Linked DNA regions of Nothobranchius furzeri. The protein of the gene in region 1 interacts with the protein of each later gene in a pairwise test. Links are inferred from orthologs where the notes say so. Each region holds a gene or a part of one and is shown in the gene's direction. Other genes may lie near its edges. The genes, in order: splicing factor U2AF 65 kDa subunit, snrpa, sugp1, khdc4, srpk2 and thap1.

What was found.
Region 2: the proteins of splicing factor U2AF 65 kDa subunit (region 1) and snrpa interact in binary tests that used the Homo sapiens proteins (3 or more experiments, as listed by UniProt). The link is inferred for Nothobranchius furzeri from reciprocal best matches to the Homo sapiens genes U2AF2 and SNRPA.
Region 3: the proteins of splicing factor U2AF 65 kDa subunit (region 1) and sugp1 interact in binary tests that used the Homo sapiens proteins (3 or more experiments, as listed by UniProt). The link is inferred for Nothobranchius furzeri from reciprocal best matches to the Homo sapiens genes U2AF2 and SUGP1.
Region 4: the proteins of splicing factor U2AF 65 kDa subunit (region 1) and khdc4 interact in binary tests that used the Homo sapiens proteins (3 or more experiments, as listed by UniProt). The two-hybrid records come from large-scale screens. The link is inferred for Nothobranchius furzeri from reciprocal best matches to the Homo sapiens genes U2AF2 and KHDC4.
Region 5: the proteins of splicing factor U2AF 65 kDa subunit (region 1) and srpk2 interact in binary tests that used the Homo sapiens proteins (3 or more experiments, as listed by UniProt). The link is inferred for Nothobranchius furzeri from reciprocal best matches to the Homo sapiens genes U2AF2 and SRPK2.
Region 6: the proteins of splicing factor U2AF 65 kDa subunit (region 1) and thap1 interact in binary tests that used the Homo sapiens proteins (3 or more experiments, as listed by UniProt). The two-hybrid records come from large-scale screens. The link is inferred for Nothobranchius furzeri from reciprocal best matches to the Homo sapiens genes U2AF2 and THAP1.

What each region holds. Positions count from the first base shown.
Region 1 is NC_091745.1:76,204,262-76,208,361, forward strand, and holds the start of splicing factor U2AF 65 kDa subunit, read left to right. Parts: upstream 1-1,300; 5' UTR 1,301-1,522; coding exon 1,523-1,571; intron 1,572-2,639; coding exon 2,640-2,781; intron 2,782-4,100. UniProt on the Homo sapiens protein: Plays a role in pre-mRNA splicing and 3'-end processing. By recruiting PRPF19 and the PRP19C/Prp19 complex/NTC/Nineteen complex to the RNA polymerase II C-terminal domain (CTD), and thereby pre-mRNA, may couple transcription to splicing.
Region 2 is NC_091753.1:42,104,708-42,108,537, reverse strand, and holds snrpa (U1 small nuclear ribonucleoprotein A), read left to right. Parts: upstream 1-1,192; 5' UTR 1,193-1,319; intron 1,320-1,629; 5' UTR 1,630-1,637; coding exon 1,638-1,713; intron 1,714-1,824; coding exon 1,825-1,997; intron 1,998-2,085; coding exon 2,086-2,244; intron 2,245-2,383; coding exon 2,384-2,548; intron 2,549-2,624; coding exon 2,625-2,713; intron 2,714-2,869; coding exon 2,870-3,029; 3' UTR 3,030-3,330; downstream 3,331-3,830. UniProt on the Homo sapiens protein: Component of the spliceosomal U1 snRNP, which is essential for recognition of the pre-mRNA 5' splice-site and the subsequent assembly of the spliceosome. U1 snRNP is the first snRNP to interact with pre-mRNA.
Region 3 is NC_091751.1:56,746,240-56,749,739, reverse strand, and holds part of sugp1 (SURP and G-patch domain-containing protein 1), read left to right. Parts: intron 1-236; coding exon 237-360; intron 361-468; coding exon 469-779; intron 780-993; coding exon 994-1,100; intron 1,101-1,198; coding exon 1,199-1,376; intron 1,377-1,496; coding exon 1,497-1,603; intron 1,604-3,500.
Region 4 is NC_091745.1:76,384,845-76,388,344, reverse strand, and holds part of khdc4 (KH homology domain-containing protein 4), read left to right. Parts: intron 1-529; coding exon 530-590; intron 591-667; coding exon 668-942; intron 943-2,784; coding exon 2,785-2,934; intron 2,935-3,500.
Region 5 is NC_091744.1:58,288,775-58,292,274, reverse strand, and holds part of srpk2 (SRSF protein kinase 2), read left to right. Parts: intron 1-508; coding exon 509-596; intron 597-809; coding exon 810-897; intron 898-992; coding exon 993-1,099; intron 1,100-1,887; coding exon 1,888-2,053; intron 2,054-3,500. UniProt on the Homo sapiens protein: Serine/arginine-rich protein-specific kinase which specifically phosphorylates its substrates at serine residues located in regions rich in arginine/serine dipeptides, known as RS domains and is involved in the phosphorylation of SR splicing factors and the regulation of splicing.
Region 6 is NC_091746.1:71,097,268-71,101,432, reverse strand, and holds the start of thap1 (THAP domain-containing protein 1), read left to right. Parts: upstream 1-1,365; 5' UTR 1,366-1,480; coding exon 1,481-1,551; intron 1,552-3,293; exon of another isoform or gene 3,294-3,426; coding exon of another isoform or gene 3,427-3,428; intron 3,429-4,057; coding exon 4,058-4,165. UniProt on the Homo sapiens protein: DNA-binding transcription regulator that regulates endothelial cell proliferation and G1/S cell-cycle progression.

The sequences.
Region 1 (4,100 bases):
TTACTTTATTTTTTCTGTTGTGAACTTAATGTTTATTTAAAAAAATCCCTGTTAATAGATTAAATCTTCATTACAGTTTTTTCTTGCCTTAATCAGAATTTGTATGTTCTTGTAATAAGAGAAACATTCAAATTCCCCTTACCGTTTCATTAATTTCATTTTAAAAAACTATTAAAACAAATCACTTGCAGTATTTTGTGGTACAGATGCACTTTTGAGAGCATGGCACATCTGAAAATAAAATTTATTTTCATTTTTAAATCAATTTAAACAGAATGTGATGACATTCTAGGTAACATTGTGATTGATGCAATTTGCTTTTCTGACTGCATAACTTGTTCCACTGAAGCCTTCCTTCTAAACAGTTTTGGATTATGTGACTAGGTGTCTAAATAGAACCTTTTGTAAACTATGACTGTCTTTTGCCACAAAGCGAACATTTTCTTGTGAAAATCATTGAACGTACACATGTTTTACATTTTGAGAATTAACTAAATTAGATTGACAGTAACTGTTTTCACTGTCTGAAACTGTTTTCACTCCCAAGAATAACACCAGTGAAATATCACTAAAGCAATTATGTTCCTACAAAAATGTGAGTTTTATCAGTAAAATTCAACACTACCCCTCACAGAGGTGAGAATGCAAATGATTCATTCAAAGTACGTAAAATAGTACAATAAAATTCTTGTTTTCTTAAAACGCGTTTTTCTAAAGGTCATTATTTTCAGCATATACATGTGGTCTTGTGACACATAAGCTGTTGTCTGCCTTATTATGACTTGATAAATACACATTAATATGTGCTGAATGTGATTTTTTGAGTGTCTATTTAAAATTTTAAACAATAGTGTGGTCACTAAATCAAAAGTACTTGTAAACTTTCAGTTTACCAGTTTGCAACAGCTGATAAGTTTTTTGCCAGGACGCAATAATCTGGAGAGAATGAATAAAGTGTCTTATGGTGATCGATTTGACGGACAGGGTTGAAGCTCTTATTCTTTAAACGGAAATTTAGCAAGCATCAACTTCCGGTGTCAGGGGCTACTTGCTTAAGGGAGCAAAAGAAGCGGGCGTACCGAAATCTTTGTTGATTCATGGACTCTTAGATTTCTTGATAGCGTATATTTTTGGTTTATAGAGTTATGCAAGTGCTCCTCGTGGGCTAGTGGTCCTCTTGGATTTGCATCTTGCTTGGGGGAAACTCATTAATTCGGCACTCGTAACGGGCCTTTTCTTCTGGTCTTAGCTAATGTTAGCAGGCTAGCACGAGCACGTTTTTGTTTCTTAAGATTTTTCTCTTTTACGTTGTAAAATATACCACACTGCTAATTTGTAAACCCCTTTTTAACTTTTGATATTTTACTGTCACCAAAGGTGTTACCAGAGGCGAACTAACTAAAGCGGTGTAGGCGAATAGTATTGGTATTTTAAAGTGTTGTTCACCTTGTTGCTAGCTTAAGCTAGCTTCCGCCGACTGAACAACGCATCCCCTGAAAGCGTAACAGGCTTCAACCCAGAAATGTCGGACTACGACGAATTCGAAAGACAGCTATCTGAAAATAAACAAGGTAAATAAAACATTTTTATATAAAATATAAAGAAAAACACTCGAATGGAGTTGAATAGTCGCCATTGGATTTACTGTCCGTGGGTATGTCTATTTACAGGGGTTGGCTCATTATTAGGACGTAGCCTTAAAACATCTAACGTGCGAACTAATTCAGACTAACATTTTTTATTTTTTCCCTCTAGTGTCAATGTCTATGGAAGCGGCAAGCTACGTTTGACAATTGATAAATTCATTGTAAAAGTTAAAAAGTAAAGCTGGGCCTGACTAAAACATGGTGCTCGTCGTCCTACGAGGAGTACTTTACATTCATTTGGTAGTGGTGTAGTTGACAGGGAACACTAAAGTGCTGTTTGCTGATTTGTTATTACATCTCATTTCAGAATAAGTCAATTGCGTCTTAAACAAACGCTAATTTAGCGACTTGACCTAAAAAGATCTTTGCAATCAGGGCCGCTTGGTTGTCGTACAGACAACGAGCTAAATGTTGTAACTTTTACATTTAGCTAGTAATAACATCAAATTGTAGACATTATCATCTACTATTAATAATAAAAAGTAATATTTACTAATTGTAAGGTTTTCGATTGTTTTTTAATTATGTTGTTTGAGCCATAATTAGTAACATTTCTAGAATGATTTTAGTAGTTTAGAGTTGTCACGATGATTAGCAAATTAATTATATTTAGTTTATTATAAAAACACAAGAGGGTATTTTTGTACAATTATTTTGGCAGTAATTGATTATAATGCAAAGATGAAATGTGTATTTTAAGATATTTCCCAACACCTTTTGTACCCTAATATGTCCAACCTGCCCACGCACTTGTTATTTTAGATGTAACACAACAATGACAATACCAGGTGCTCTTAGGGTTTAGTTGTTCACTGAGTAATTGTAAGTTTCCATTTTGTTGCTGTATATTATTGTAATTATCCCAATTTCCACCCAAAACAAAATAACTTTCCTGCCTTTAGGAGATACAAGCTTTGACTTCGTATTTTCATATCTGGGCATTCTATAAATGTCAGGCACTTCTGTTGGTTTACAAGATCTTTATCCCTGCAGCTGAAAGGGACAAGGAGAACCGTCATCACCGTCGGTCCTCGTCCCGCAGTCGTAGCAGAGAGAGGAAAAGGAGGAGCAGAGACAGGGACAGACGCAGCAGGGACCGCCGTGGAGACAGTAAGGAGCGGAGACACCGGCGCAGGTTTGTAGCAGTTTATGATGGCGACAACAAACTGTAAAACCTTTATCCTGTCATGAAATTTAAACTGACACAGTGACCACTACAGTCAGATATGAGACGTGTTGATGAAGCATATAAATAGCTACTGGTGCTTGTGCAAAAGTCGGTATTTAAAGTGATATGACTACATATCTCTAAAGTACAGCACATGTCTGGAGTTTGTTTTAATTCACTAATTTATACAAAAAAAAACATTTTTTTTTCTTTGCTCAACAGAAAACAATTATAACACTAGTTTGTCACTTGAATAAATGCACAGGGGCACAGAAAATGAATGTGTTTTAAGTTAAAGATGAAAAGGTCTCTAATTATTCTGGTCAAGAACTCAAACAAGGTGGTATTTCTGCAGTGTTTTCTCTGTATTTTATTTTCACTCTGCTCTTAACTCTTAATTTGGATGTTACTTGAAAAATCGCTTAGTTACTGTTTAATACAGGGTTTTGAACGGTTATTTTTGTCTATTTTCCCCAAAACACATAGCAACAGCTGCTAATAGGGTTGTCACGGTATGAAAATTTAACCTCACGGTTATTGTGACCAAAATTATCACGGTTTTCGGTATTATCGCTGTATTTTTTAAACGGTGTTGCATATGTTCAGAAAGCATTGATAGTCCTGTTCTACACAAACTGAAATAGTTCTGAAAAGGTTTAACAGTGTTTATTAAACCTAAAATAACACAAAGTCTTAGCAAAAGTGCAACTTTTCACAAGTAAAGGAACAAATAGCTTCTTTTTCTGGAACATGTTACAGTAGTCAGTGCAGGTTTAAATTATACAAATCCAAACATTCAAACCATAAACAATATGTAAACAAATCAAAGAAACACCACTTGTTTTCTCATATACTTGTTTTCTTCATTATCAAAATGAAAATCTAAAACTCCAGTCCACACTTGACTTGAGCACTGTACAAGTCAACCTTAAAAAATATGTATTTAAAATAAATAGCCACTTTAAACAAATTACTAAAATAACTACTACACTGTGTAATCAAATCCAAATGTTCAAGTATAAATGGCATTGAATAAGTAAACAAATCAATGACAAGGAACTAATTGTATATTTCTCTTCATCATCAACAAATAAGATGCTTCATCCAGCAACAGGGTGTCCGTGACACGGTTTAAATGCTGGCAGAGGACGCTGCGGCTGCAGTATATAGTGACTCGTTGCATTCTCCCTCAACCAAAAGTCCTCACGTCATGCATTTAAGCTAAAACGCTAATGTTAACTTACCTTGCACTGGCTGTAGAGACGTGGGTGATGGTCACGCAGATG
Region 2 (3,830 bases), on another chromosome or scaffold:
GGACAAAAAAGTGACAGACGTGTGAAGTCAAGATGAAACAGTGATGTTAAATCACTGTGATGTTGCAAATTATCTGCATTGTTCATGAAGTTTACAAAAAAAAAAAGTCCACAGGCACTACATTCATTTGGGATTTGTTCCTTAATGCGTTCAAAGATTAGTCCCTGAATAAAACTGTTGGGTTTTCACCAGTATGTATTGGTTAACTACCTATTCTTCCCTGCTTCATTACTCATTACTCCCTAAGTCGTTCCCTAGTTACGAAGCATAATTTTACGTACCTTATTGTAAAGTTACTGTTATTCTTCTTAGGTTGTCTACTCTGCCTTTTTTTGACGTCATGTTTTTCCAGTATTTCTGATTTACTGTTCAATTCAATTCAAAAATACTTTATTAATCCCAGGGGGAAACTGATTGCTGTAGTATCTCAGAATAATAATAATAATCAAGTCATCAAAGAGTTATTGTATATTACAATGGCTGTTGGCAGGAAGGATCTCCAGTAGTGTTGCAGCGAAACTGAAGAAGCCTCTGACTGAAGACACTCTTCCGTTGTCGGACAGTCTTGTGAAGAGAATGCTCACGGTTGTCCATAATTTTCTTGATTCTCTGGAGAATCCTTCTTTGCATTATCTCCTCCAGTGGTTCAGAAAGTGCCGAAACTCTGACTGAGTCCTTGAAAGGGCTTGGAGTTCCTCCATCTTGTTGGCCAGTGATCTCACATTGCCCATTATGATCGATGGGAGAGATGGTTTGAATTTCCTCTTTCTCTGTCTCCGTTTTGCTCCCGCTCTGCACCCACGCTTCTTGCGTTTTAGTTAATTTGGGATTTGTCGCGTCAGTTGAGGTATTATTTCAGCCTTTTCAATGTTAAACAGCTGCTCCCGATTGTAAACCAGCTTGTTGCCATGGTTACGCATCATAACAAATGCTCAAAAAGTGAAAAAACCTAAACAATAGCAGCAAAAGTCCTCCAAGCTTCACAGCACCAGAAACAGAAAAGTAAAGTGTCCAAAAAAATACCGTTTTTCTTGAGAAACTAGAAGAAAAAATGTCCAAGAAAAGGCTAAACTTACATATAGTTAACAGAGCTACTCCAACATGCAGCCACCCAGAGCAGCGTAAATAAGAAGAAAAACCATTTTAGTTTTAGCCATTGTAAGTTAAATGGTGTTTTGAGTTTCGCTATTTTGATTTACACCGTGTGGTGGCGGTAATTCACCAGAACGGTTTGGTAACCAACAAATAAGACAAAGAAGAAGAATTTCTTCCTCTTGTTTTCTGGGGAAAAAAGTCTCGGAGCTTTCATTCAATTTCAGGTTGGTACTACGTCAACATCTAACGCGTTTTACATGGTTAAGTGCATTTTAACTGTTGATTTAAAATATTTTTGACAAGCTTAAACGATTTGAGGTAACGTTGGAACTAGTAGAAGTATTTAGGCAGATTAATGACGCTAAATGCTGTTAGTTAGCTTTTAGCTAACACGCTGTTGTTGCCTTCCGCCATGTTTGTTACCATTGCGTTTAGATGCTGGATTTTTGAATGAAATTGGACTTGAAACTGCGTGAAAATAAGCACATGTTTGAGTCTTTATTTTATTTTTAGCTATTTTATTTATTCTCCTAGCCTTAAACATGACCACTCCAGCAGAGGTGCGCCCCAATCACACGATCTACATCAACAACCTAAACGAGAAGATAAAGAAAGATGGTGAGTTTCGCATCATTTTCTTTCCTTTTCTTTGTTTATTTCACGCACAATTAATGCAAAGTCTCCTTTATTATTGTTATTGATTATTTGTTGTTTGTGTGTCTCCCTCAGAGCTGAAGAAGTCCCTTTATGCCATCTTCTCTCAGTTTGGGCAAATTTTGGACATTTTGGTCGCACGAAACCTGAAGATGAAGGGTCAGGCGTTCGTTATCTTTAAAGAGATTAACAGCGCTTCTAATGCATTAAGGTCCATGCAGGGTTTTCCTTTCTATGATAAACCTATGGTACGTCTATTAAACATGTTTAATAATGCACAATTTAGACATTTCTGATGGAAGTACACGTGTGACTCAAATATATACTTTCTTGCAGCGAATCCAGTACTCTAAAATGGATTCGGATATTATAGCTAAGATGAAGGGGACTTTTGTGGAGCGTGACCGTAAAAAAGAAAAGAAGAAGCCCAAACCTGAATCTACAGGAAGTAAAAAAAATGCTGCAGCGATTGCTGGGGTACCTTCTGCAATCCCAGTGAGTGCACTAGGTGTTTTTTACAATCATGGTTAAACAATCTAGATATTTGTTAGTGAAGTAACGGCAGGTTTTAGATGCATTAAGAGTTAAAAGCTCAATTAACATGAATAGAAACTAAACGTTTGTCATTCTTTAGGGAATGCCACCAATGAACCAGGCTCCTCGCATGATGCACATTCCAGGCCAGCCACCTTACATGCCCCCTCCTGGAATGATGCCTCCTCCTGGGATGGCTCCAGGCCAGATTCCTCCTGGTGGGATTGCTCCTGGTCAGATGATGCCAGGACAGATGCCTCAGCAGGTAGCTTGTGTTCTTTTTCCTCACAGAACGTTTTGTTTCCTGTCCTGGTAGTTTAATCCTTACTCTCTTCCCACAGGTTTCAGAAAATCCACCCAACCACATTCTCTTTCTCACCAACCTGCCAGAGGAGACGAACGAACTCATGCTGTCCATGCTCTTCAACCAGTCAGTACTCATTTTCTAGTCATACATTTAAACAGATGCGTAAAAATGGATCAACTTTGACTGTTTTGTGATGCTAACATTGCAAATAATCTGAGAATTTAATTCTCTCAAACTGTTTTTTCTGTAATTGTAACTGAGCTGCTCTGTGCGTTAAAGGTTTCCCGGCTTCAAAGAGGTGCGTCTTGTTCCTGGTCGTCACGACATCGCCTTTGTGGAGTTTGAAAACGAGGTGCAGGCTGGCGCGGCACGAGATGCTCTGCAGGGCTTTAAGATCACTCAGACGAACGCCATGAAGATTTCTTTTGCCAAGAAATAACGCATCTTCCACCAGGTCCTGATTTAATTTGCATACATGTCCGTACATGTAAGTATCTGAGTCAAGTTGCTGTTAAGAAAGTTGGAGTGAAAAACTGGGAGCTCTAACTTTGTGCAATGGTTTGGCTTTAATCTGTAATGCTTGCGCAACTTGGTGTCCACTTCTCTGTTTTTCTGTTTCATAGTTTAAATTTTTTATTATAAACTGTTAAAGCATTGCACCCAGTGTCTGGTCCACCAGACATTGTACCTGGAGCTATTCTTTTTTTTTTATCTTGATTAAAATTTGAATTGGTAAAACACTAGACTGTTCTTTCTTTCGCTGTGTGTGTGTGTGTGTGTGTGTGTGTGTGTGTGTGTGTGTGTGTGTGTGTGTGTGTGTGTGTGTGTGTGTGTGTGTGTGTGTGTGTGTGTGTGTGTGTGTGTGTGTGTGTGTGTGTGTGTGTGTGTGTGTGTGTGTGTGTGTGTGTGTGTGTGTGTGAACAGGTTTGAGCATAAAGGATAACTCAACATTTCCTGTCTGAAATGTCAAAGAAAGGAATTGAGTTTAGAGTTGCATTTGCTTAATCAAGCCAAGCCAACTTTGTTTATAAAGCACTTTAAAAACAGCCCTCGCTGACCAAAGTGCTGAACATAAAAACATAAAAGCATAAAATAGAATACAGTGTAAGGTTAAAAGCACACTAAAATAAAACACAAATCAAATAGAAATCCAAAACGTGTTGAAAGCCAAGCTAAAAAGGTGGGTCTTTAAAGATGATTTAAAAGTTTCCAGTGAGGAGGCCTTTCTAAGATGTGCCGG
Region 3 (3,500 bases), on another chromosome or scaffold:
AATCTGTCTGTACACGGGAGAAAATGTCTTTGCTTTATTTGTTCTTTATTTGTTGTAGTCAAAGCCTCACATCCAAACAGTTCCCCATTCACCAGCCCTGTCCCTTCCTTGCCCCTCCTTCCCCTTTCCTCCTCTTATTCCCTATTGGATCTAGACTGGTGGTGTGTGAGGGCCAGTTGAGTACGATACAGTAGTAGAGTGTGAATTGAGTCCCAGTACTAATAGGCTGCTTAAAGTCTCCCCCCCAGTGGACGAGGAAACCCAGCAACTGGTTGAGAATCTGGCCAGGTTTGTGGCGGAGGGTGGCCCTGAGGTGGAAGCCATCGCTGTTGAGCGCAATCGGGACAACCCGTCCTTCAGGTCATTTACAGAAGCTATCTTCTGTTATCCTAAAGCATTTTTGGTTTTTCACAGCCTTCCTTTGCTGAAAAATATCAAAAAATAATCTTCATTCTACTTTTCTTTTAGCTTTTTGTACAACCATCAAAGCCTGGCCCACCAACTTTACAGAGAAAAACTGCGGGAATATCAGGCCACAAACTCTCAGAGCTTTTCGCCTGCAGTGGAAGAATCTAGGGGAAGCATTCACCGACCAGGAATCTCCCCACTGCTCAACAGCACACCCGTGCATCTGAGTCAGGAGTCAGCAACACCGCCTGTCAAACGCAAGAGAAAGAGTAGATGGGGTTCTGAAGATGACAAAGTTCATCTGCCTATTCCTCCAGTTGTTATTCCTCCAGAGGTTAATATCCCAGACCCAAACGCACCTTCCCTCTCCGGTGAGCAAACTTAAGTATCTCTGAAATGTTTTTGTTCGTTATGTGATTAGCTAATATTTCCAAACTTTTTGATGCTAATTTAACCAGTGTTTTTGTTTTTAAAGTCATTACGGATTTTGTTTCCCTTTTTGCTTAAATGTCACACAGTCAGGGACATAACCTAACATTGTAGTAGCGACTGCGGTATTTGAAACTGGCATTTTTCTTTTTTCAGTCCAGGAGCTGAGTGGTCTTGGTTATAAGAAGGGAAAACCTCTCGGTCTGGTTGGAGTGACTGAACTGTCTGAGGAGCAGAAGAAACAAATCAAAGAACAACAAGAGGTAGATACAGACAGCTGTTGTTGTTATTATTATTGTTCACACCCTAACTCAATTTTGGTTTTATATCTCTGTATCCTACATATTGTTTCTCCTCACAGATGCAAGAGATGTATGAGATGATCATGAAGCACAAGCGTGCAATGGCAGAGATGCAGAATCTGTGGGATAAAGCTATGAGAGAACATCAGCATGAGTATGACAGCGATGAAGAAGTGGATGATAAGGCTGGTACCTGGGAACATCAGCTGAGACAGATGGAAATGGAGAAGACGCGTGGTATGATACAGATAAAAACATATTCACGAGAATTTTTAATTCTAGCATCTGTTGATGATAGCATTTTTGTGCTTCACGGTTAGTTACTGCCGTAAAACCTTTTCTTTTCAACATTTGCAGAGTGGGCAGAGTCTCTGACAGAGATGGGTAAAGGGAAACACTTTATTGGTGACTTCCTTCCACCTGAAGAACTGGACAAGTTCATGGAGACCTTTAAAGCACTCAAAGTTAGTACTTCTCTAAATTTGTGTGTTTAGCCTGATTTAACTAAATATATAATTTAGGGGTGTTATGGTAAAGATGGGCAAGCTTACTACAGTAAACATTTTTCGTACATCTGTAGTTTAAAGGGACTCTAAGGAAGTTTGAAGTTTTTATGCTTGCGATCGCCACTCAGGCCTAACGCGTAATGGCAGCTTCAAAAGTAATCTCGTGCATGAGGTGCGCATGCTGTACGTGCACACTCCTTAACGAAAATAACAGCTGAGACAGTCCTGTGTGTGTGTGTGTGTGTGTGTGTGTGTGTGTGTGTGTGTGTGTGTGTGTGTGTGTGTGTGTGTGTGTGTGTGTGTGTGTGTGTGTGTGTGTGTGTGTGTGTGTGCGTGCGTGCGTGCGTGCGTGCGTGCGTGCGTGCGTGCGTGCGTGCGTGTTGCCCGGAGGACAGAAGAACACAGCAAATTAATTAAAATAATGTGCCTCTCTCTGCAGCTGCACTTACTCGTCGGCCTGCCGAATGTGCAGTGTGTGTGTGTTTGTTGGGGGGGGGGTGGCCCAGAGGACAGGAGAACATGCAGCTAATTAATTAAATAATTTGGTTCTCTTCAGCACAGCCGGCAAAGTTTTATGCATGCTCAGATCATTCTCTCCCTTGCTTGAAAAATAGTTCCAAAATGAAAGCTGAACCCACATCTTTTTTATCCTTGAATTCAGTGCCTTTCGGTGGGTCTCAAATAATAATTTGGGCGTCTTATTACCGTAAAAAAATATATCATTAATGTAAAAAAGAAACTCCAAACAAATTATGTTCACACCTGGAATCGAACCCAGTTCTTCTGCATGTAAGTCAGACATCTTACTAGGTGAGCTGAAGCACAAGTGACATTGATTCTATCTGTAACGTTTATATCCTTGATGACAGCTGAAACAGCGTCAATCCAAAGAATGGTTCGGAGCAAAAATCGCTATTTTGTTGCTAATTTGCAGGAAATATTTAGAAGAATGTTCCACAGAAAGTAGCTGAGGGTCCTCAGAAATGTAGCTACAATGTTTCCTCTAGGAATTTTTCCAGATGTGGTGGTGGTGGTGGGGGGGGTTATGACACGTCGTTGTCGACTTCCTCGGCTTATCTGGGTCTGGGCCGTGGGGGCAGCATCCCAACTAGGGAGCTCCAGACCGTTCTCACCCCGGCCACCTCCACCAGCTCCTCCGGCAGGACCCCAAGTCGTTCCTGGACCAGATTGGAGATGTAACCTCTCCAACGTGTCCTGGGTCGACCGGGGGCCTCCTGCTGGCAGGGCATGCCCGAAACACCTCCCCAGGGAGGCGTCCAGGAGGCATCCTGACCAGATTCCCAAACCACCTCAACTGACTCCTTTCGATCCGGAGGAGCAGCGGTTCTACTCCGAGTCCCTCCCGAATGTCCGAGCTCCTCACCCTATCTCTAAGGCCGAGCCCGGCCACCCTACGGAGGAAACTCATTTCAGCCGCTTGTATACGCAATCTCGTTCTTTCGGTCATGACCATAGGTGAGGATTGGGACGTAGATCAACTGGTAAATCGAGAGCCTGGCTTTCTGGCTCAGCTCCCTCTTCACCACGACAGATCAGCTATGACACGTCTCACCTTTATGTTAATATTGTTTTATTTGATGCACTCCACTTTGAACTGCACAAATCCGGCAACTGCTGCATTTTAATAACTAGTATTAAAGGTGAATACACCAATATTTGCACAAGAATAATTTTTGTTTTAAACTCTCAGTGACACACTTTGCAGGGGGGGAGGGGTTGGCATTCAATTTTTCTTGGCATCTGGAAAAACATCTCCTTCTGCCCCCCTTTATTTGACTTTCTGCCCCCTTTATTTTGGTCCAAGCTCATTACTGGGCTGACCCTATTAAAAACG
Region 4 (3,500 bases), about 180 kb from region 1:
TGCTGCCCCCGCGACCCGGACCCGGATAAGCGGAGGAAGACGACGACGTTTTTTTTCAGCATCAGCAAACCGTAACCAGAACAGATCACACAGCAGTGTGTTAATTGAAGGCAGCGATATTATCAAGTTATTCATCTCTGCCGTTCGGTGGAAAACATATTTGGCTTTTGTCGTCGTCCAGACGGAGTTGAAAAACAAGGCGATCAGAACCTTAAGAGCTTCCTTTATCTGAGGATTGTCTCGCAGGCGTTTATCAGCTTTTACCAACAAAGTGAGGCGTGTAAAGTGAAAGGTACGCCACACAGACATGTACCTCCTGGTGGCTTCTGCAGATGTTCCACTGACATAACATTTTGCACACTAAAGAATAGAAGGTGTAAGTGACTTTGTTCTGCTGCGTGAAACAAGTATTTCCTGTCGTTTCTGGAAGGTGTTGATGTAGCTTAATAACTCGCACAGATTTTTTCTTTGCTCGTTGTTGAACATTTTAAGCCCTAACAGTCCTCACATACGACGCTCTCCTCCCCAGGTTCATTCTGAATATTCTCGCTACCTTAGTCAAATGAACACAGTGATGCCAACACAACAAGGTAAAACACAACTCGCACCTTTTTGTGTGTGGGTGACTTAGCTGTCTGGTTTTACATGTTCTGGTCTTGTCCTTCAGGCTTCACCCAGACTCCAGTGATGAACGAGGTGTCCCCTCAGCCTCCCTACTACCCTCCAGCTGGATACCAGTCTTCCTACTCACAGGCTGTGCCACCAGTTACGCCTCTTCCTGTCCCACCACCTTTTCCGGTCCCACCACCTGCACCTATGGCCGCACCTTCAGGCGTGCCCTCTCAGTACCCTTTACGCCCGGCCCCTGCACCTGTTCCTGCCCCCATTTCTACCCCCGTTCCTGCTCCCACTGTGGCTCCTGCTCCAGACACACTACAGCAGGTAAGGCTTGGCTATCATGTTAGCGATGTGTTGCTACAGATCTGATCTGTTTCACACAAGTTCTCACGGGGTTTTTGCTGCAGGTCATTCCACTAAACTGACATGTTTATATATGTATATTATATATATAATATATTATATATATTTATATAATGTATATAATATATATATATAATATATATATATACATATATTTATATATTATGTATATATATATATATACATAATATATTATATATATATTATGTATATATATATTATAAATATATATATATATATATATTATATATATATATATATTTATAATATATATATATATATATATATATATATATATATATATATATATATTTATAATATATATATATATATATATATACATAATATATTATATATATATATATTTATAATATATATATATATAATATATATATATTATATAAATATATGTATATATATTATATATATAATATATTATGTATATATATATTATAAATATATATATATAATATATATTATGTATATTTATATATTATATATATATATATAATATATATTATGTATATTTATATATTATATATATACATAATATGTATATAATATATTATATATATAATATACATATATTTATATAATATATATATATTATATATAATATATATATATATATTATATATAATATACATATATTTATATAATATATATATATATTATATGAATATATGTATATATATATTATAAATATATAATATATATAGTAAGTATATATATATATTATATATATAATATATATTATATATACATAATATATGTATATATAATATATATTATATATATATTATATATATATACATAATATATATGAAATCAAATCAAACTTTATTTATAAAGCACTTTTCATGCACAGGAAGCAACACAAAGTGCTTAACAGATTAAAATGACCCATATAACCCACATTCCCTCCCTTTCCCACAGTTTCACCCCCAATCCACAAACCATTCCCAGGCGCACGCACACACACACACACACACACACACACACACTCGTCCACATTAAAAGACCACAGTAAACACTAGGCTGAGCTCAGATTGGACAGGTAATGAAAGACACGCCATCAAGGGAGCCATCTGCCTCGACAGCAGCAGATCCACAGCAGCAGCAAGACACCAATCCAGGGTGCCCTGGGAGGGAGGGTGACAACCCCCCACCATTACCTGGGCACTACCCAAGGAGCGCCCCAGCCGCCGCCACCGACCACCGGTCCTGAGGCAGAGGGCTCCACAGAGGAAACACTGGAAGGATGAAATACGTAACATGTAAAATAACAAGAGCTAATGTGGATAGTAAAATTTCCTATAAAATTTGATTATATAACTAAAACGACATAAATATGTAACACAACAGTGATTAAAATAAATAAGTAAAACAAGCAATGCAATAAATAGTAATCAGTTTAAAGCTAAACTAAAAAGGTGGGTCTAGAGCCTGTTCTTAAAAACATGAACGTTCTCCGCGGCCCTGAGATCCTCCGGCAGCCCGTTCCAGAGGCGAGGGCCATGATAACTCAAATATACAGCTGAGCAGATTCTTAAGACACTTGTACGACTAACTCTCCCGTAGGTCTCGACTCACTGAGACGTTGCTGGCTGCATTTGGGTCTGATGACACTTGTCCTTAAACCTGTTGCATTTCAAATAATTTAAGGATAAGAATCAAAGACATTGTGACAATGAGAAGCATTTTGCAAAATGCAGGTTAAAGAAATGTTTGTATGCGTCATCGTTTTGTCTTTGTTTGGGTTCTGAGAGTTGATTCGGCCCAATCTGTTTCTCCTCTGTGCAGCAGACTCTTCCTTCTGTACATTTTCCTCCTCCTCCTGCCGCAGTGCCACCCAAAGCCCCGCCTCCCGCCGCTCCATCCAATCCCCCGCAGAAACGACGCTTCACCGAGGAGGTGCCAGACGAGCGGGACAGCAGCCTGTTTGGATATCAGGTAAAGAAAACGTTCTTTTGCACTCGCACCTCCTCGTGGGTCTGTAGTGGAGTTTACTCCTCCCTGGTGCTCCACTTCTTCATTTCCATATGTATTTATTCTCATTATTTCCCCCTCAGTGTGTAGAGTTCCTTCCTTTCAGCCAATCGTATTTAAGACCCGTCTAAAATGTCCAGCTTAATAATTCATCCTTCCTCCATTCCAACGTTTTATGATTGATGCATGCTATTTCCTGCTGAGGCGCTCTTACGCTTTAGTTGTGACGTGTCTATCGTAAGGATCGAGGAACACCCGTGTAGTCAGACTTCTATTAAATATGATCAGTAAGTAAGTAAAACTTTATTTATATAGCACTTTTCACAGATAAAATCACAAAGTGCTTCACAACAAACATAAAAAGGCAAAACAGGACAGGAGCACAAGGTCAACTTACATAAAAGCTTGTCTAAATAAAGTGTCTTCAGCTGCTTTTTAAAAGAATCATCCGAGTCGGCCACACGAAGAAACAAGGGCCGGGCGTTCCAAAGTCTGGGAGCTACAGCTTGAAAGGACAGGTCCCCTCTAGT
Region 5 (3,500 bases), on another chromosome or scaffold:
GATGACTTGTTAAAGGGGTTAGGGTCATCATAAACTTCACATACTTGCTGGGTTTGGCGCCTGACCTTCAGTAAACAATGATCTCTCCAGTTTTTTGTAAAGTTGAATGAAAACATTTCCACACAAGAAACGTCATCGTTTTAGACTGACAGTTCAGCTCTGAGTTCATTCAACAGTCATATTTCCCACACTCATTAATCTTAGTTCCAGTTCTGGCAGAAATAAGTGAAACAAAGACACAAACATTACATTTTTGTTTGAAACACAAACAGCAAGACACTATAACGTTTTTTAACTGTGACATTTTGGCTACTCAGATATCTCCTGTCCTGTCAGTCCGCAGTAGAAGGATGAATGTGTGAAAGAGGTCTGTCAGAATAGTTTTTGTGGTGTGATAAAAATCCAACTGTTGCTCTAGTGTCTGTGGGAAAGACAGCCAAGCTCAGACGCAGGTTAATGTGGTCAATCATATATTCTGTCACATGAATGCCGTGTGTTTTTACTGCAGAGTGAAGAACTTTGTGGCGATGAAGGTGGTGAAGAGCGCCCAGCACTACACAGAAACGGCCTTGGATGAGATCAAACTGCTGCGATGTGTGAGAATCTGATTGGTTGATTTTGTCCTTTTCTATCTTGTTCTTATAACAGGTCTTTTCATCACACTCCCTGCATTTTTCTGCCACTCTGAATCCTTCCTGCAGCCTTTCTTTTGTCTTCCCACACTCCCGCAGCACCACCACTCCTTTGTGGCTTATCTTTTCTTCCTCCAGCCTGTCTCACCTCATCTTCTCTACGATTTCACCCCCCAGGTGAGAGAAAGCGACCCCGGTGATCCCAACAAGGACATGGTGGTTCAGCTGATTGACGACTTCAAGATCTCTGGGGTCAACGGCATACGTATCCTGATCAGAAATGTGCTCATCGGTGAGGTTGTGTGTGTTTCTGTGTGTCAGAGACGTATGATAATGTGAGTCCTTGACTCCTCATCCCAGATGTGTGTATGGTGTTCGAGGTGCTGGGTCATCACCTGCTCAAATGGATCATTAAATCCAACTACCAAGGTCTGCCGCTGCCGTGTGTCAAGAGCATTATCAAACAGGTGACTGACACACACACACACACACACACACACACACACACATCATGGTTTATTTATTCTGAGTGAAAACCATATTCTGGTCGAGCAGTGACAAATCATGATTGTAAAACCAAAATTTACGAGTCCCTCTATTTGTACAGTGGACCATTTAATAATTCTCAGGCCAATGAAAGAAGAGCAGATACTTGTTTGCTTCAGACTCAAGCATGGCTGCTTTTCTCAGACACGAGCCTCAGAGATTTTTACCCATCAGCCACCTGGTCAGCATGTGATGACGCTGAGTATTTTCAGCGACTGTTGGCCTCTCACAACCTGAGCTGGAGAAGAACAGAACAATGAATGATCTTGTTTCTGTCTCAGTCCCAAAGCCAAAACAGTTGACCTTAAACATTGGTATTTTTGTTTTTGTTAATCTGAAACTCACAAACAGAAAGATGTATTCATTTTGACTAGGGCTGGGCGACATGGCCTAAAATCAGTATCACGATATATCGAGGATTTCACCTCGATGACGATAAACGGACGATAACTAAAGGTACGCGTAGAAACAAAAGTTTTCCACTAGGTGGGGCTGTCACATTTTTACATGACTCAAGGTGGTGCAGCTTCTTAAAGGGACATGGACGTTGCCAACCTACGCACATCTTTTCATTTTTTTTATTATCAATTTTATCGACATGGGAAAAATTATCTCTAAGAGTCAGAAATTTTGATAATGATACATTTTCGATTTATTGCCCAGCTCAAATTTTGACCCAAATAGATAAATGTATGTGTGTTGTCATCAGGTCCTGCAGGGGCTGGACTACCTCCACGCCAAATGTAAAATCATTCACACAGACATCAAGCCAGAGAACATCCTGATGTGTGTTGATGACGTGTTTGTGAGGCGGATGGCCATGGAGGCAACGGAGTGGCAGAAAGCTGGAGCCCCACCGCCGTCTGGATCAGCAGGTAGCAACACACACACACACAGTCAGAGGAGTGGAGGTCACGCTGAATACAGGAACCACAACAGGCAAAAACACAATTTTTATGCTTAAATGTTTCATTTCAATCAAAAGAGGCATGATGTGTCTGTTCTGGTGTTCTAATTCAGCTGAACGCCTCAGAGGTAGTCTTAAAGCTGTATTTAGATTAAAACCGTTATAGCAATGTCTGATTGATAACACTTGAAAATGTGAAGTTTGTGGAGAATAATACAAACCCTTAAAGTAATAAAGTCTTATCTAACCCTCCCACTGTCTTTATGGGTGACCCCACGAGGAAAGCTGACCATTGAGCAGAGTTGATGGTTTATGCCTTGAGGTCCACGTGGCAGGGGTGAGGCGGTCATCACTCCTCACCCCTGCCACATGGACCCAAGGGATGAACCATCAACCCTGCTCAGTGGTACACTTTTCTCGCGGGGTCACACCCATTAGGACAGTGGGAGGGTTTAAGATCAAATAATTTAGATTTGTTTGCAAAGTGGGGACAACTGTAATATGGCAGGAAGCCACCTCATATTCCTAAATTGAATATGATTTAATGCTTTCAAACACCTAATGACTCCTTATCTTTCCCTCTTTACTAGTAAAGCGTTTAGTGCAGAAAATAAATGCACAGATGAGCTTTTAATGTTTCCCTCTGGTACTTGAAACCAATTCCTCTTGCTTTTCCTCTCTTATCTCCAACTTCCTGTTCAGAAGAAAAGAAAGAATCAGGTCTTTTAGTGAAAGTCTGTAGAAACTCTACATGAACCCTGTCCTCTTGGTGAACCTCGCCACAAGCTGTCAGTTACTTACATCAGCCGGTAGTCTGCTTCAGCTTCAGGGTAACCACTTAAACTCCTCGCATTGCTACATTTATAAAACACAAACTCAACCTTCAAAAGTCGCTCAGGTATTTAACAGGTTCAGGCTAAAATGGGTTTAAAGCTGGAGCATGAAAGGTGAAGAAAAGTGTTCCTGTGTCAAATTTATATCTTAACACCATCTTACTTGTTGGTTTCCAGAAGGGCCTCAGTTCTGAGAAACAATTTACTTCCTACAGCACGGATGAGGTCATAACTAGTCTGAGTCAGCCAAGACCAAAGTAGATTAGGACCACATTTAAACAGTCCCAGTCTCCTAACCTTCACCTGTCTCCCTTCATTTGTTTTATGAACGTGTGCACCATCTTTCATCATGCTGCATGTGTTAAAGACACTGCAACTAATACATTTAACAATATAATAATAGAGACATAAAACCCACACCACCTGTAGATCCTCCATCTGAGGACAGACATGTACAGGACTAGATGCAGCAGGTTTTTGTTGAAGATACTAATCCTGACACTCCATTAGGGTACCTTAGGGCCAGAGCCACCACTATTTCATGCTGGAAGCGTCAGCGGTGCGGAACGGCAGCGGAAAAGT
Region 6 (4,165 bases), on another chromosome or scaffold:
CGGTCGCGAACGAACCGGCTCTAAGAGCCGACTCTTTGAAGTGAACGATGGGAGCCCTCCCCCTCCCCCCCTGCCTTGGTGAAAGCTGCAGGTGATTGGTCAACATGTGTAACTGCGTGTCCAGACTGTCCACACACAGAGCAGTAGGGGCGGAGAAGAGGGAGGATCAGACTCAGACACACAGCAGAGCACATGCGGGCGGAGGGAGGCGAGCGGGAATGAGGAGGAGGAAAAAGGCAGAGAGAGGAGAGTGCGACGAAGACGGTGAGAAAATTAGCGCCAGCAGTCGGAAAGTGGAGATTTCTTAAAGTGTTCAGTTATTAAATCCATAGAAATGATAAATATTTGATACACAGCATTTTTTTACATTAGTAAATCATTTTACAAATAGTTTTGCATTATTTTGGTTATAAATGTATTCTGCGCAAAAGAAAATCTGAGGAGCCACTTGGGAGCCGAAAGAGCCGGCTCTTTTTGGTGAGCTGAGCCATTCCCATCACTAGTACCAGGACCAGAGTGAATAGGGTGTGTGTGTGTGTGTGTGTGTGTGTGTGTGTGTGTGTAAGCATGAGGGATGCATGTACGTCAGGTGGGGTCTTGGACTCCTCTCCTCTGCTGAGACATCTTGAGGTGTTACGACATCTTCGCGTACCCTCCTGCCACTTGTTCTACCGGTGGGCGGTGCCTCGGTCTGCCTGCATATCTAAATGCACTATGAATTATTATGGTATGCTTCCCAGCATAAGCAGTTACTGTTATATATCCTCATGCTGTTGGAGCAGCGATGTTTTGTCTTGTTGTATTTTTGTGTGTCTCCTTTTCACGCTCTCTCTCTCTCTCTCTCTCTCTCTCTCTCTCTCTCTCTCTCTCTCTCTCTCTCTCTCTCTCTCCAGAAGCTGATTCTTCTTCATCATTTATTATTTATATAATTCATCCTCCCTCACCTCTTCCTTCACTCTCCCCCTTTCTCTCACAGCTGTCTCTGTGTCCGAAAGTGTTGCTAATAAAGTTTTGGTGTCAGCAGTGGCTACGGCAGAAGCTGTGAGCTCCACCTGAGAGAATAAAGCTGCAAGGCTCGTCTTCAGCAGTCAGACATCAGTTCTGGTTGCTTCACAGCCGGACAGGACACGGTAAAAAGACAACAAAAGGATATTTGTATGAAATCAAGTGATAGTTATTAAAAGCATTCAAAGAAAAGATGTTTTTTGTCCAACTGCTCTTCTGTGACTATTTTATTTTATCCTTTACTTATTTTATTTTTATTTTTTTTATCTGCAACGATTTATAATAAAAAAAATTCTAACAAGTTTCGCTTCACACACTAAAATGACAGTTACCAGGAAGAGAGGCCAATCAGGGGGCAGAACGCGGGTCAGGTGACCCTGTCTCCGCCGCCATGTTTGTTATTGGCAGTGAAGCCTGATCGGACTGACGGCAACGAGGTTTGGCGGAGGTTCGGTTCGTTTTCTGGGATGAAACAATGGTCCAGACGTGCTCAGCCTATGGCTGTAAGAACCGGTACCACAAAGACAAAGATGTCTCCTTCCACAAGTAAGTTCGGCTCCGGTGTTTCTGCGCCGACTCTCGTTAGCCCGCCCGAGCTTCGGTCCGGTCTCAGAAACAGCCTCGTTCAGTCACAGCAGTCTATTCATTCATGTTTTCGTGCTGAATGAAGCAGAAGTCCGAGCAGCGGCCTCACAGAGGAACCACCTGTTCAACAGGTGTCCAGGTGTTGTAGTCCCATTAGTCTGACATGTTGGAGCAAAACCAGAGCAGCTAGTGGTTAGGACCAGTTTATTCTACAAACACAGAAACACCTCCAGTTGTCCAGACTGGTGGAGCATAAAACCAGGTGTGGCGAGGCCTCAGGCTAGATGTGGAGGGGCATCAGAGCAGGTGTGGAGCAGCAGCAGCCAAGTGAGGAGGAGCATAAAACCAGGTGTGGAGAGAACTCAGGCCAGGTGTGGAGGAGCGTCGGCGCAGGTGTGTTTCACACTTCCTGGTGTTTAGATAAACATTCAGTACTTCAGTAAAGTTGCTGTAATTAATGCGGCGTCATCGGGTCACGTGGAGAAACTCAGGTTTTTATTAAAAGTCGTTTATTTTATCGCTGGAATCATTTTGGATTTTTTCACTAAAATCTTCATCATTCTGCTTTCTCACAGATCAGCTACAGAGGCTGGTTCTGGCTCGGGTTCTGGTTCCTCCAGAACTCATCAGTCACTTTGTCTGAGTTGACGTTTGTTCATTTTCATCACCACCACCGTGCTTTGCTCTGATGGAGTGAGAACATGTCCTCCTTCCGGTGGAGGTCATGACCTCCATGCTAATCATCTCTGGCTGTAGAGACGGTCTGGATTTGTCCTCAGAACCAGAACCAGACCAAAGCTCCGTCATCCTCTCCTGATCTAGAGCAGACTGGACTCACAGGATGGGTCCTTTTTAGTCCACTGGACCTGGTTTCTTTTCTCAGCCTCTGATGGTTTGGGTTCCTGACGGTTCTTGAAGACGTTTCGGATCTTCTCGTGTTTCTACCTGCAGCCGTCGGTTTTACTGAGCCCAGTTGTGTTTAGAAGTAGAAGTGATGAGGTAGTTCTGTTTCACCTGTCTTCAGTGTTGGGAGTAACGACGTTTAAATATAACGGCGTTGCTAACGGCGTTCTTTTTTAGGTAACGGAATAATTTAATTGATTACTTTTCCCACTGCTGCAACGCCGTTACCGTTACCACGTGCTTGTCGAACGTTGAGCAGCAGCGTGAGGCTTTCTGACCGCCACACTTCAGCTGCAGCCAGGGAGAGAGAGGTGTCGGTAACGCACTTACAAACACGATGGTGATTGGCCGGGTGGGCGGAGACCCTCACGGTCTCAGTCGCTGCATTCTGTAGACACAACAGAGCAGTGATGGGAATAACGCCGTTTAAAATAACCGCGTTAATAAAAAAAAAGTGTTCCTGTAACGAGCAAACTAATTAATTACCGTCTTCTTTTATCAAAACGTCATTTCTGTTACTGATAAGGAAATGCGTGCGTTAAGCAGCGCGGTGTGTTGAAGCTGTCATCAGCTGATCAGGAGCTAAAGAGGTAGATGTTTTCATCCAAGAGCATCACGGACCGTGAAGAACGAGGAAGACGTGATGAATGATTCGCTGCTGCAGTAGCGAATCTGTGGGTCTGCAGCCGTGCTCTTAGCGTGACAGCGGGACGTCCCGAAGGTCCGCTCACCTGTTCACCTCTCAGACGTCCTGATCTTCTACCTTCCTAGATCATCCAGCTGTAACCTGTTTCTGATCATGTCTTTAGTCCCGCTGTAACACTGATGCATCAGTCTCAGACGTCATGGAGCTCAGGTGTTATCAGAACTACCTGTGTGTGTTTACCACCCAGCTTCAGCTCTTCTGTGGTTGGGTCTGACCCAAGTTAGTAAATGTAAGTCCTCCATCAGGCTTGTGCCTCTTCTAGTGTCATTTTAAAGGATTTTATTTATTTATTTAACCGTTACTAGATTACCTGCAACAGAAATGCTACTAAAAACACACAATTATGTGAAGCTGGAAAAATTAAAATACCGTAGAAAATTACATTTATTTCTGTAATTTAACTAGACTGAGAGACCATTTAAAGGCTCGGGAACCTTTACAGGTGTTTCTATTTGCAATTTTAAATGTTAGCTGATTGGGTTTTTGTTAAATATCACACAGAGACCTTTTAATAGTCTAGATAAGTGTAATGTTCCTATTAGTAGTTCCTCCTGTTAAGTGCTTATTTATTTAAATTATTCAGGTTTTATTATGTTCCAGTCATTAGTCATTTATATTTCACTATTATAGTAATTCTTGCATTCTTTAATGAAAAAAGTAACTAAGTAGTTATTTTTCTTGGTAATTAGTTACTTTTATAATCTTGTAACTGAGTTACTTTTTTTGACAAAGTAATCAGTAACTATAACTAATTGCTTTTTAAAGTAACGTTCCCAACACTGCCTGTCTTCATCTGAATGACGTTCCTGTGAGGACTTCACTTCCCCAGCTGTTGTACCATTTGACGTGTTTTCCCAGGTTTCCTTTGGCCCGTCCAGATGTTTGTGGGAAATGGGTCGCTGCCATGAGGAGGAACAACTTCAAACCCACCAAGTACAGCAACATCTGCTCCCAGCATTTCACCAA